2 linked regions of the Oryzias latipes genome follow. Each later gene encodes a partner of the first gene's protein in a complex. Links are inferred from orthologs where the notes say so. Each region holds a gene or a part of one and is shown in the gene's direction. Other genes may lie near its edges.

Region 1 (5,043 bases):
GTTCATTAAATAAAGTTTGCAGAGTGGAAAAAAAAAGTCCTTTCCTTCAAGTTAGGAATGTTAGAAATGGTTTTTGTACTATCATATTTGTAACACATGAAATATTGGGTTAACTCACTGGGGACTGACTGGATAACTGATAATAACCCTGCATTTGTTAAAATTGAAAATTCAAATAAAGTAACTTTTGAGGTAAATATGCTTTTTCCTGGATTTTGATACCTGATGTCCAGCCCTGCTTTGGAAGGTTGTAAAATTCGCCTACTAAAGTTCAGCTATATGAAACCTTTTTTTTTTTGGTCCACGGCATTGAAGCAACACAGAAAGTACATTTATAAGAGAATTAAAATCCACCTGTTGAAAGGATCGTCTTTTTTTGCAAGTGAACCTTTGTTTTTTTTCCAGGTTTCCTATTTGTTCCCTTTGGATTTCACGGAGGCCAGAGCCATCTTTCTAGTGGGACAGAATTATGTCAACCAGGTATGCATAACAATTGATTCATAAGTCCCAGTTATTCATGAAATACTCCACATCGGCCAATTCCTTCGCAGAAAAATAATGGAAAACACACAGCAGCTAATCTGTAAAAATCTATTTAATTTTTTTTTCACAAATTCTAACAACATTTTAAGCTTTGATGCATTATTTTTGTTTTATTGTTGTTTTTTCAAGTTTATAGAATCTGCAGTTATTACAGAACTGAACTAAAAAGGCTTAAGAACTAGATTAATTAGCACTAACAGAGGCTAACCTGAATCCGTTCTCTGCTTTACTCAGCTCATTAGGAAATCCTCAATTCTTTGACGTTCTTTTTAAACCAATTTGGAAATCTATATAAACCCACAGTGTCCGTGCTCAGTTTTACACTGAAACTTGTGCGGTTTGTATCTTGGTGGCATCAGATCACTTGGTTTCTGTGAGTTTGCCTTTAATGCAGTATACCATTTCCTGAAAGCCATTCATGCATTAGAAAGAGATTGCAGTGCACCACACACACACAGAAACACACACAAGCGCTGGCTTTACAAAAAAAACCAAAGATAAGTTTAACCTGGAATGAACTTTAGTGAGAAAAATCTATATCAAAGTCACTGGGTTGAGTTTCACTCTCTGTGGGTGCAGTTTCACTTCAAAAATGTTTTTGAAAGCATCTACAAAATGCTGTGTAAAGGATTTTAATTAGAAAAGCGTGTTTTTTGTACTTATCTGCATCTTTGTCTGTTATCCATCCCAAGGCAAAGGAGCACTTCCAGATGGATGGGTTTGTGACAGACCACATCGAGATTTTGCAGGACCACAGCGCTCTGTTCCGGGCCCTGGCTTTCTTTGAGGAGGATGTAGAGCGGCGCTGCAAAATGCACAAAAGAAGAGTTGACATGCTGGAACCCATCTGTAACGGTACGACCAAACTTCAGTTCGTCTTGTTCTCTGAAGGCTCATCTCTGTGATATGTTCAAATGAAACCAATAAACTGGACAGAAAAGCTGAATTTTATCTTGCTTTGTTTCTAATGTTTCCTCAGACTTGAATTCCCAGTACTACCTTTTAATCCGCAGACAGCTGATGTTTGAGCTGGCTGAGACCTACAATGAAATGATGGATCTGAAGCTAACTCTGGCCAACAGACAGGAAGATTCTCAATCTCTAGATAACCATACAATTAAAAAGTTCAACCACCTGTGTTCCGCCTCTGCCAAGTAAGCATTCCCCTTTGAAGCCCTTTTGTGTATTTTCTACATGTGAGTGAGCTGAAATCCTCTCCAGGTACTTTCAGATGTTCCTGGACTCCCTGTGTTCTCCTGAGGGGAAAATTCCTGAGCACCTGGAGGAAGACGTCCTCCGACCGGCTCTGGTGGCTCGATTCAGAGTTGCTCGACTGCATAGCAAACTGATCAGCTCCTCGCCGCCAGTTCAGCTGGACAACCTCAACAAAGCTCTAGAAAACTACAAGTACGAAAAACCTTTAACTATGGATCAAATAGGACTGGAACTAAATTTAGATGGGAGTAGAAAACTTTGATGTGATGTCTCTTTAATCGTTTTCTCTCAAAACTTTTGTCCAGGTATGTGGTGCAGTATTGTGAGGCCCACCCAGAGGCTGCAGCCGCTGCAGAGACGGAGCTGGAGTTGAGTAAGGAGATGGTGGGCCTCCTCCCTTTGAAAATCAATCGGCTGAAAGCAAGGATGGCTACGAACAACTAAAAAAGTGCTCCTTTTTGCTGCCTGGAGCTCTGCTGAAACAATGTTTACCTGTTTTCAGTAGAAAGTCAGGGACTCTGTTTGGTCTGGTAACAATTGTCCTTTTTCCTGTGAGCATGCTGCTGAACCCATTACAGGCTCTTTAACTTATGTGCTCTTAACTGTCATACATATTGTGATTACATGTCTGCTTGTGATTGTTAATAAAAAGAATATCTCACTCTTGTGACACTTAGAAATTCTTAAGTGTTGGGGTTTGTGGACGGATCTGAATGGATTGTAAACACTGAGACCTTTGTGAAGCTTTAAGGATCATTTTAACAGATTTTCCGTATGCTTTTCTTTTCCATTTTCAGTTTTGCACTATTAAAATGTCTACTTTGAGCCTATCCCATATAAATAGACGGTACACATAGTGGGGTTTTACTCAAAATTCCCTTTTTCTACTAAGTTCTCCATTTAACTAAAGTAGGTTATTCAGCTACTTTCTGCACACAAGACTTCACAAGTGCAATAATAATGGGACACTTCGAGGTAAAGAGCAGTAAATGATGTGCAAATATCTGCTTTCTCTGAAATGAGATGCCTGTGCTGCAAGTTCACAGAACAACAGTCATTACATGGACTTGACTCAGTTTTTATCACAGCCTGCGTGATGTGCTCAAAATCCATTCCAGTGTGTTTCTCTCACTGACGGTTGCCAGAATTCAGTCTGTTTTGTGCAAAGCAGATATTGTGTATAATTTAAACCAATGTTGTAATCCTTTCTAATACCATAGTACCAAGATGCATTTCTTTTAGGTGTATTAAAAAGCTGAATGTGAAATGGTATCACTTGTTTTCTGACATCTCTACAAGTTTTATCAAAAGTCTAAATACAACTTTTTAGTTTAAATCAGATTTTTTTTTATTTACTGTGATAACTTTTTGAAAATATTAATAGAAAACTTGTTCTCTTGCGTTCATACTTTAAAGCTGCAACTTCTTTGCCAAGGAAGTCTGTGTTTTGTCTTTTAATTTGTTTGAATCTATGTTAGAATAGTTATGGTTTCTTGAAATTCCTATTACGTAAGACATTTCAGACTGTTGCCGGAATGGAGTTCACGATTAAACTTAATAAAGTGGGGGTAGAAGCTGAAGCAAGATTTGCAGCCTGCAGTTGGGACTTTTGTACGATGATCTGAGAGGGTTGAAGACGGCAGAAGGAAGCCACACTCAAGTAGATCAACGTTGCATGACCTCAAAAATTTGGTATTAACCCACATGTCTGACTGCAGAAGATCTTTGCTGCTCCTTTTTACAAAAGCACAAAATAAGAAGGTGGCAGTTCAGTTTCCACATCAGATGCACCATTTGCATGTAGAATTAGTGAATAAAAGAAATAAAGTATTTTCTTCCTTGGAGTAAAAAAGGAACTGATGGTTACTAAACTAGTCCCGATTTACTGGAACAAACCCTGTAGCCATGCAAACTGTCACTAAACTGTCTCTGCTAGTTTGACCTTTGACAAGTTACAATAGGAAAAACGGATCACAGCAGCTTAATGAAGTCAACAGTCATCATTTCCCCTCAACAGTTGCAGAGAATTGGCAGCACGTATCATTTTTTAGGACAGATTGTCTCCTCTACAAATGGGTTATGTGACCCTGGTTTAATTCCACATATACATCAGCTGTGCATATTTGTGCTTTGCAAGTTCTGCAATATCTCCTTTTTTGTGTGTAAAAGCTGCCGTTGCACCATAATAGCATTAGTCATGTTAACAAATAATTGATCTAGTTTCAGGTTAGTTAAAGCACATGTCACACACACAAAAAAATTGCTAATGTAATATAATGAAAACAAGATACTATAAAGTAATTCTGATTGTGCTAAAGGTGAGACACTGCATAATTTTTCTCCAGAAATTACACCACACGATGTTACCACATCCTTTATCATGATACTGATGTGTCAGCTAAATAATTTACTCATCTTCATGCTGTGTTTCACTTCCAGAAAAAAAAAAACTTGAATTAAATGCTAAAAAGGAACATGTTTAAATGATGACATTAACAGGAAGCAAACTAATGAGCCTGCAAGCCACGAGTGTTAGATGTTAATGCTCCCTGAACTTATAGATAAGATAAGCTGTGTCTGCATTAGAAAAAGGGTTAAAATGACCTAAAATACCTAATAATAGATTTTTTTTTATGTATGCATTAGTAATGTCCTGACATTCAGATATTGGTCAGTGGGAGGTTTTTTTTTTATCAAGAAACTGTCCACAATCAAATTCACATGCTTCATTTTGTGTATGGAATCTCATTAAAAGGCTTCCTTTAACAGTCTTGAACACTCCCAGATAGGGAAGGGTGTAACAGTTAATCAAATGATCAATAAATTGATTCATATTCCTATGATCCACCCAGATTGATTTGTCTAAAGCAAGTTGTTATTCGAATCGACCTATACCGTTATAAAATTGTTTCAAAATGGGGCTGAACTTCATGAAACTAAATTGTGAATGGATTTTCCTTTAATTCTTCTTGACTCATTTGTTTACATACATATTTTATTTACACTTGATTATCTTACAATAAATGAAAGGAATCTGGGAAACTTATCTCTGAGTCACACTGGTTGGAGTTTGGGCTGAAGATCTTCTAGATCGGTTTTAGGTCAGTGAATCAGATTGAATCGGATTTTTAAAAAATGAACCAATGGACCGGATCATCAACCCCAAATAGTGACATGAATCGAATGATTAAATTGAATCATTATACCCCTAATCCTAGAGTATACGTTTTGATTCATCTTTACTGTAGTAACTTAAAGGATCTGTATGTCAGGCAGTAGTGGAGC
Region 2 (6,323 bases), on another chromosome or scaffold:
TGGATATTCTCGGGTGGATGGTCCACAACAGGCTTCGCAGGGGAGAGGAGGATCATGTTAGACCCCTGAAACGGATTAATCGCATCTAGGTTGTCATAATCCAACTGGTAGCCGCCTTTGCACTGAATGGGCATGTCATCATCAGGATAGGATGACAGGTCTGTCAAAAAAAGAAAAGGTCTGTTAACCTCACTGCAAGAACAGAGACTAAACTGAAGGAAATAACTTAATAGAAGATAAAAGAACCTTGTGGTGGCTGCAAAGCACGTTCCATTGATAAAGTACTGCCAAAAGAAACAACAGGCTTGCTTACATCAGTGCAACAATTATTCATTTAGAGACACGCTGGGATCCAAGACAGTCACTTACTCTGACGTATCCACATTTAAGAACTCATCCACGTTTGAGATAGTGGCACATTTGTTGGGGGACAGAATTCTTTTGGTTAACGGGTCTCTTCGTGGGGTCTGAAAACAAACCTGAGCACAGAAATTGAGTCAACTATAATAGAGATTGTCATCTTGTAGTGAAACGTATACACAAACTAGATCAGTCTGTACCTTTATCCCCTTTGGCAGACCCTTGTTGGGCAGGTTCTCCGTCTGACGCAGGATAGAAGGTCTCCCAGTAGGTTGATCAAGAGCAAAAATGTCTTGATTCAAGCTGTTAAGTTTCCCACCTGGGAAGACCCCGCAGTTCTCATCATTCACTTCAGAAAGACTCATCCTGCAAAAACAGAAAAACAAATGAACATGCAGTCTGCAGACAGGGGGGAAACATGAAAGCTGTACGCAGCTGATAAGACACTGTAGATGTGGAAGTGATGCACACAACCAGATGTTTTTACCAGAATAAGGGCATGTGCAAGTTAGACTGCATACTTTGGCTTAAAATGATCATTGGTTGCAATTAGAAACATTGATTTGTGTAAAAACACCAGTGTCAACTGGATACAATGGTGTACATCAAGTCATGAAGTTAATTGAAATTTTAATCAACTTCAAGTAAATGGGACCTTTTTTCTAAATATTTATATCAATATTACATGTCCCTGTTGTAATAGCATTAAACCTAACTTAAATAATTAACAAGAAACATTGAAAATTTTAAGAAATAACGATAGTTAAATTAAGTGAATTAAAACACTGTCATTTGTAAAAGCTGCCACAGTGCAAAGTAACACTTAAGATTGTGTTCATAAAAAATTAAAATACCAATAAAATCATTAAAAACTATGGGTAAAAAAAAATGTGACAAAACATATTTAGAAAATACAAGAAAACAAATGACGAAACATCTCAAAGTAACTTGTAAAATAAATGAGCATCTACAAAAAAAAAAAAAAAAAAAAAGGTACACACATTGTTAAAAATATTACTGTTTTTTGTTTTTTCGGTCTTATATGTGTGTTAGATATTAACAATTGTTTATTGTGCAAGTGACTGTGAATGTCTGTAAATTGAAAAATGTACAATAAAAAATAAATAAATAAATAACACTAAGTAGTATCGTGTTTAACCACTAGAGGGCGGTAATGTTAATTTTGCAATAGGTCTTCTCAGGTCGAGGCCACATCACAACATTGAGTTTCAATTTTAAAACCCCACAACCCGTTTACGAGATATTATACATTACACTAGCATGATGTGCAAATACACAAGAATAAATACATATACGATGATGATAACTGCAGTTGTTATTACTATTACAATTTGACGGAGTTTGAAGGATAATTAGTTATTGCTGAAGTCAATAAGAAAATCTAAAATGTGGTCAGAGAAGTGTAAATACGAACACAGAAAAACAGAAAGATTTCATTTTAATTAGTGTGTGACTACATGCGGCCTGTAGTCCGAAACATCCAACGGATGTTAACAGAAAGAAAAGCAGCCATACATTTTATGCAAGTGAACGTAAAAATATTAACATTTCGTTAGATTGTTTATGTCTTATATTTTATGATTAAACTTTACTAAACCTGATGAAAGATAAACATTTGAAAAAGCCAAGAACTACCGTTGGCCAACGCCGGTTTAGCTAGTAAAAGGATATGAATAACAATTCAACAAACTCTGAGAAAAGCTATCTAATGCCGTGACAGAAATTCTTTATTCCACCTACCTCACAATAAAAGGCTGTTTTTTAAAATTACAATCTCTTTCACGCAGACATTCAGTTGTAGACCTGTCTGGATTTGCTTTTGGAAAAACCCTCACCAGCTTTTTCTGGGCTTCAGCCGTTTGGAATTGAAAAGTCTCCGAACGCACCAATAACGTGGTTTAAAGTGTTCAAACAGACGCTCTTCCTGGTCGAGTAACCAATCAGATCAAAGACCGGAAATGACGCAAAGTGGATTTTCATTTTAGGAGTAGCAGAGCACCAAGTTTAAAACTCCGTAGATATAAAAACACATACTATAATGTGATTTTATAGTATTGTGCTGCAAGAAATTTATCATCTAAACATTTTTTTAATTTCTAAAGCTTAACGTTTGGTGGCAAAATAAGTTACTCACAGTACAGATTTGCTACGCATTTAAGACCTCATAAAAGAGACCTAAAAAACTAAAATAAAAGACCAGGCTAAGACACAATATCCCATTTATTTAGAAAAAAAACTCTTTAAAAATATTGTCAAACTTTTGTTTTCAAAGAGTTGGGGTGTAGCAATATGCATTACTTCTCATACAAAATATAGACCGAATTTTAAAATTAAAGCTGTTTAAGACCCACGCTTTTAAATCTAGCTGCTTAATATACGACTTGGTAACACTTTAGTTCAAAGGTTGCAGGAGTAACTTATTATTTTTGTGTGTGCCTGTGCTGTTAAAAATAATTACCCTTTTACACCAACACTACCATTAGGGGGCGAACCAGCACCTTTTACGATGGTTGCCACCCAACGTAAAAGCCGAGGAAGACTGATTGGATAAACCCGCCAGATTTGCCGAGTGTAAACAGTGCCGGATGTTCTTTTTTCTTTTTAATCCACACGCCATTGGGATGTTTTTAACTTTTTAACGGTTGCTACGCCAATCTATAACAATGACTTCCAACGGAAGAGGTACCTTTTTTTTTACTTGGTTTAGGATTTGTTATGCTTCCATTTAAATCCGACGCCATCGTTAGCTAAGCTTTTCATGATGTTCTTTACTACACGGTAATGATGGGAGGTTCAGAAAGAAATAAGCTGTAAAGTTACGCATTTCTAACAAGATTACTTAACTCTAAACGATGGTTCGACTTTAAAATTGGTTGAAATGTTTTTAAAATTGGTTAAAATTGGTTTTCTTGAGCACCGCAAGAAGAAGATTGATCTGTTTATTATTATTTTGTAAACAGGATTTGGAGAATCATCCCTCCATTGTGCCAGGTAGGTGGTACATTTTATTACTGTTGTGGACACAAACACACACATAATACACACTTTGTTGTTGTGTTTGCTAGTAAAACCAACTTGGTTAACCCCAGGTTTTCATTTTTATGTTTCCCTTGTTTTACTTTACTTGTCATATTTGCTGTGTTATTGTAAACTTCAGTTGAATAGAACTATAGATTCGAGGTCCAAATGTCAACACCAATAAAAACCCCACAAGACTTACAGAAGATATCACATTGAATTAAAAGACGTGATAAATGTGTGTATGTAATCATAAATGATGGTTTATTTAACCAAATGCTTTTTTTTTAAAAGAGGCTCATTGTATTTGTTTGTTTGTCAACAGTTCTGATAGTGATTCTATTAAAGTCTTCATCCGTGTGCGACCTCTGACCCATGGCACCGGGCTGACCACGGATGGAGACCAGAACCTATGTCTCACAGTCACATCACCCAACACCATCCGTCTGCTATCAAAGCCAGAGCCGCGGACCTTCACTTATGATCATGTTGCTGACATGGATACATCTCAGGTTCCAGTCGCACCAATGTTGCTTTAGGAAATGTCACTTTCCTGTCTGAACTGAAATAGAGAACCGAAACTATTCCACTTTTTGATGGTTCTTTGTCCTTTCTGTGCAGGATTCTGTATTCAACATTGTGGCCAAGAACATTGTTGAATCCTGTATGAATGGGTATAATGGAACCATATTTGCATAGTAAGTAGCTTTTTGTTCAGAATTATTTCACAGTCTTTCCAAGTTGTCTCACTTAAATAGATGAGAGGTCATAGATACACTATAGCTTTGACGAAGAGACACAACGTAAGAAAAAGAATCCAATAAAACATTTTTTTGTTTTCTTTTATTTATATAATGGTGTTTATAAATATATAGTAATACTTTGCATTCATTGGTAATGTCTAATGTAGATCTTCACCAGGTTTGGATACACTGTAGCTGGTAACTATGAGATTTTGGGCGAAGACCTCCTTCGATCACTGAGAAGGAATGTCGTCATAAAGTAAAGTATTTCAAGGTTCTGAAGAGACCTAGTCAGTCTCCAGATCTGGTTCCAATAATAGAGGATCTGTAGAGGGAGTTGAAAGTCCAGCAACAGTTGCAAAACATCCCAGCTCTTCAGAAAAATGGACCAAAGTAGCAGCTGCAGTGCACAAATAAATTCTTAAAAACATCAAAATGTATTTATTTATATATTTTTTTAAATGCTGTCAGTTAAAGTGTATTTATGATGAACATAGATTTCTTTTAGTGGGACAACTTGCAAAATTGGTGGCTGACAAACACTTTTTTACCCCCTCTTTATTTTTCCTCAAGATTCTTTTTTGTCTCTTTGTTTCTTTTAGTGGGCAAACCGGCTCTGGAAAAACGTTCACTATGCTTGGTGAGGATACGCTTTCACTATTTAAATATCTTATTCCAAATATTACCTAAGCATTAACCAAATAAAGTTTTATTTCAGGCCCATCGGAGTTGGATAACTTCACAGATGAAATGAGAGGGGTTATTCCTCGCAGTTTTGAGTACCTGTTTTTCCTCATTAACAGAGAAGCAGAGAAAGTAAGTAACAACATTTTTTTTCAGGACTGTGATCTGATGTTTCATTTATAACTGTGTTTTACAACAAATGCCATACTTGTCTCTCCTCTCTTCATAGTCAGCAAAGTCCAAGAATTTCCTTTGCAAGTGTTCATTTATTGAGATATACAATGAACAAATTTATGACCTGTTGGACACGGCGTCTGCCAGCCTTTTTCTACGAGAAAACATTAAAAAAGGAGTGTTTGTTGAGGGAGCTGTGGAGAAGTTTGTCAGCTCTGCAGCAGAAGCCTATCAGGTATATAAATAATATACAGACGATTGTGAGTTCTCTCAAATCTCTTGCATCAGAACCAAATTCTTGACTTGTTGAAGTTGCTTTCGACCCCGTTTAGCACACACGCATTCAGGTTTTTGGAAAATGTACAGAAAGTCCTTAAATTATTTGTGTTCAAACCTTTTGAGGTTTTGTCTACGGGCTGGCGCAATCGACGCGTGGCCTCCACTTCAATGAACCGCGAGTCTTCAAGGTCTCACGCCGTGTTCACGATGACGCTGGAATCCAAGGAGACGAAAAATGAGGTGGTGAACATCCGAACATCTCAGCTGAACCTTGTTGATCTGGCAGGTTCTGAGAGACAAAAAGACACGCACACAGAGGGTTCCCGACTCAAGGTACAGCTTTGTTCGAGAATGGTTCATCACACCCGTATTTGCTTTTATTGCTTAAAAACTGCTGTTTTCTTTAACGCAAAATACAGGAGGCCAGCAGCATCAATCGCTCCCTCATGTGTCTGGGCCAGGTGATTATGGCACTGGTGGACGTGTCCAATGGGAAGAACCGTCACATCTGCTACCGGGACTCTAAGCTCACCTTCCTTCTCCGGGTTAGAATTTTTCAAATGTTGGTGTTTTCGTTTTGCGTTTCGTACCGTTTGCAAAAACATGCATGTTTTTGTTTGTATTTTAGGACTCTCTTGGTGGAAATGCCAAAACTTACATCATAGCCAATGTTCACCCTGGCTCAAAATGTTTTGGGGAGACATTATCCACTTTGCATTTTGCGCAGAGAGCAAAGCTGATAAAAAACAAGGTCTGTGTTATCCAGTAGCATCCAATATCCTAATGTAACAAGCCCAAAGGAAGGAGTTTAGGGTTATTTATGTGTTTAAAGAGTAATTCTTTTCCTTTTTTTAGGCGGTTATCAATGAAGACACACAGGGAAACGTGAGGCAGCTGCAGGCTGAAGTGAGGAAACTGAAAGAGCAGCTTGCACAGGTGCAGGGATATCAGGGAGTCCAGCATTCCAGAGATGTAGCTCCTGGAGGACCTGAATTCTCCATGGGTAACAATATCCCCAAAATGAACATGGAATAATTGATAACT

The links. The genes of interacting proteins can lie anywhere in the genome.
Region 2: the proteins of kif1bp (region 1) and kif15 are in contact, whole or in part, in a cryo-EM structure (PDB 6ZPH), measured with the Homo sapiens proteins. The link is inferred for Oryzias latipes from reciprocal best matches to the Homo sapiens genes KIFBP and KIF15. Residues at the interface, in NP_056449.1 of Homo sapiens: Lys26, Tyr33, Lys36, Ile106, Glu109, Ile147, Ser150, Glu151, Glu153, Thr208, His209, Tyr212, Tyr213, Gln216, Gln219, His220, Phe224, Gln238, Glu248, Trp249, Ile251, Asn252, Thr255, Gln258, Phe259, Asn262, Tyr415, Val416, Thr417, Glu421; in NP_064627.1 of Homo sapiens: Leu187, Glu189, Ile191, Lys192, Lys193, Arg231, Glu232, Arg235, Arg271, Met280, Arg281, Leu282, Lys283, Glu284, Ala285, Gly286, Asn287, Asn289, Arg290, Leu292, Ser293, Gly296, Gln297, Ile299, Ala301, Val303, Asp304, Val305, Gly306, His312.

The regions. Positions count from the first base shown.
Region 1 is NC_019861.2:24,159,997-24,165,039, forward strand, and holds the end of kif1bp (KIF1-binding protein), read left to right. Parts: intron 1-405; coding exon 406-480; intron 481-1,235; coding exon 1,236-1,398; intron 1,399-1,522; coding exon 1,523-1,697; intron 1,698-1,764; coding exon 1,765-1,950; intron 1,951-2,063; coding exon 2,064-2,202; 3' UTR 2,203-3,030; downstream 3,031-5,043. UniProt on the Homo sapiens protein: Activator of KIF1B plus-end-directed microtubule motor activity. Required for organization of axonal microtubules, and axonal outgrowth and maintenance during peripheral and central nervous system development.
Region 2 is NC_019880.2:12,225,626-12,231,948, reverse strand, and holds the start of kif15 (kinesin-like protein KIF15), read left to right. Parts: upstream 1-2,908; 5' UTR 2,909-3,044; coding exon 3,045-3,063; intron 3,064-3,341; coding exon 3,342-3,372; intron 3,373-3,724; coding exon 3,725-3,911; intron 3,912-4,020; coding exon 4,021-4,097; intron 4,098-4,744; coding exon 4,745-4,782; intron 4,783-4,860; coding exon 4,861-4,958; intron 4,959-5,055; coding exon 5,056-5,235; intron 5,236-5,402; coding exon 5,403-5,612; intron 5,613-5,698; coding exon 5,699-5,824; intron 5,825-5,907; coding exon 5,908-6,030; intron 6,031-6,134; coding exon 6,135-6,282; intron 6,283-6,323. Other genes in the region: tacc3 (transforming acidic coiled-coil-containing protein 3), read right to left, coding at 1-160, 247-284, 370-479, 561-725. UniProt on the Homo sapiens protein: Plus-end directed kinesin-like motor enzyme involved in mitotic spindle assembly.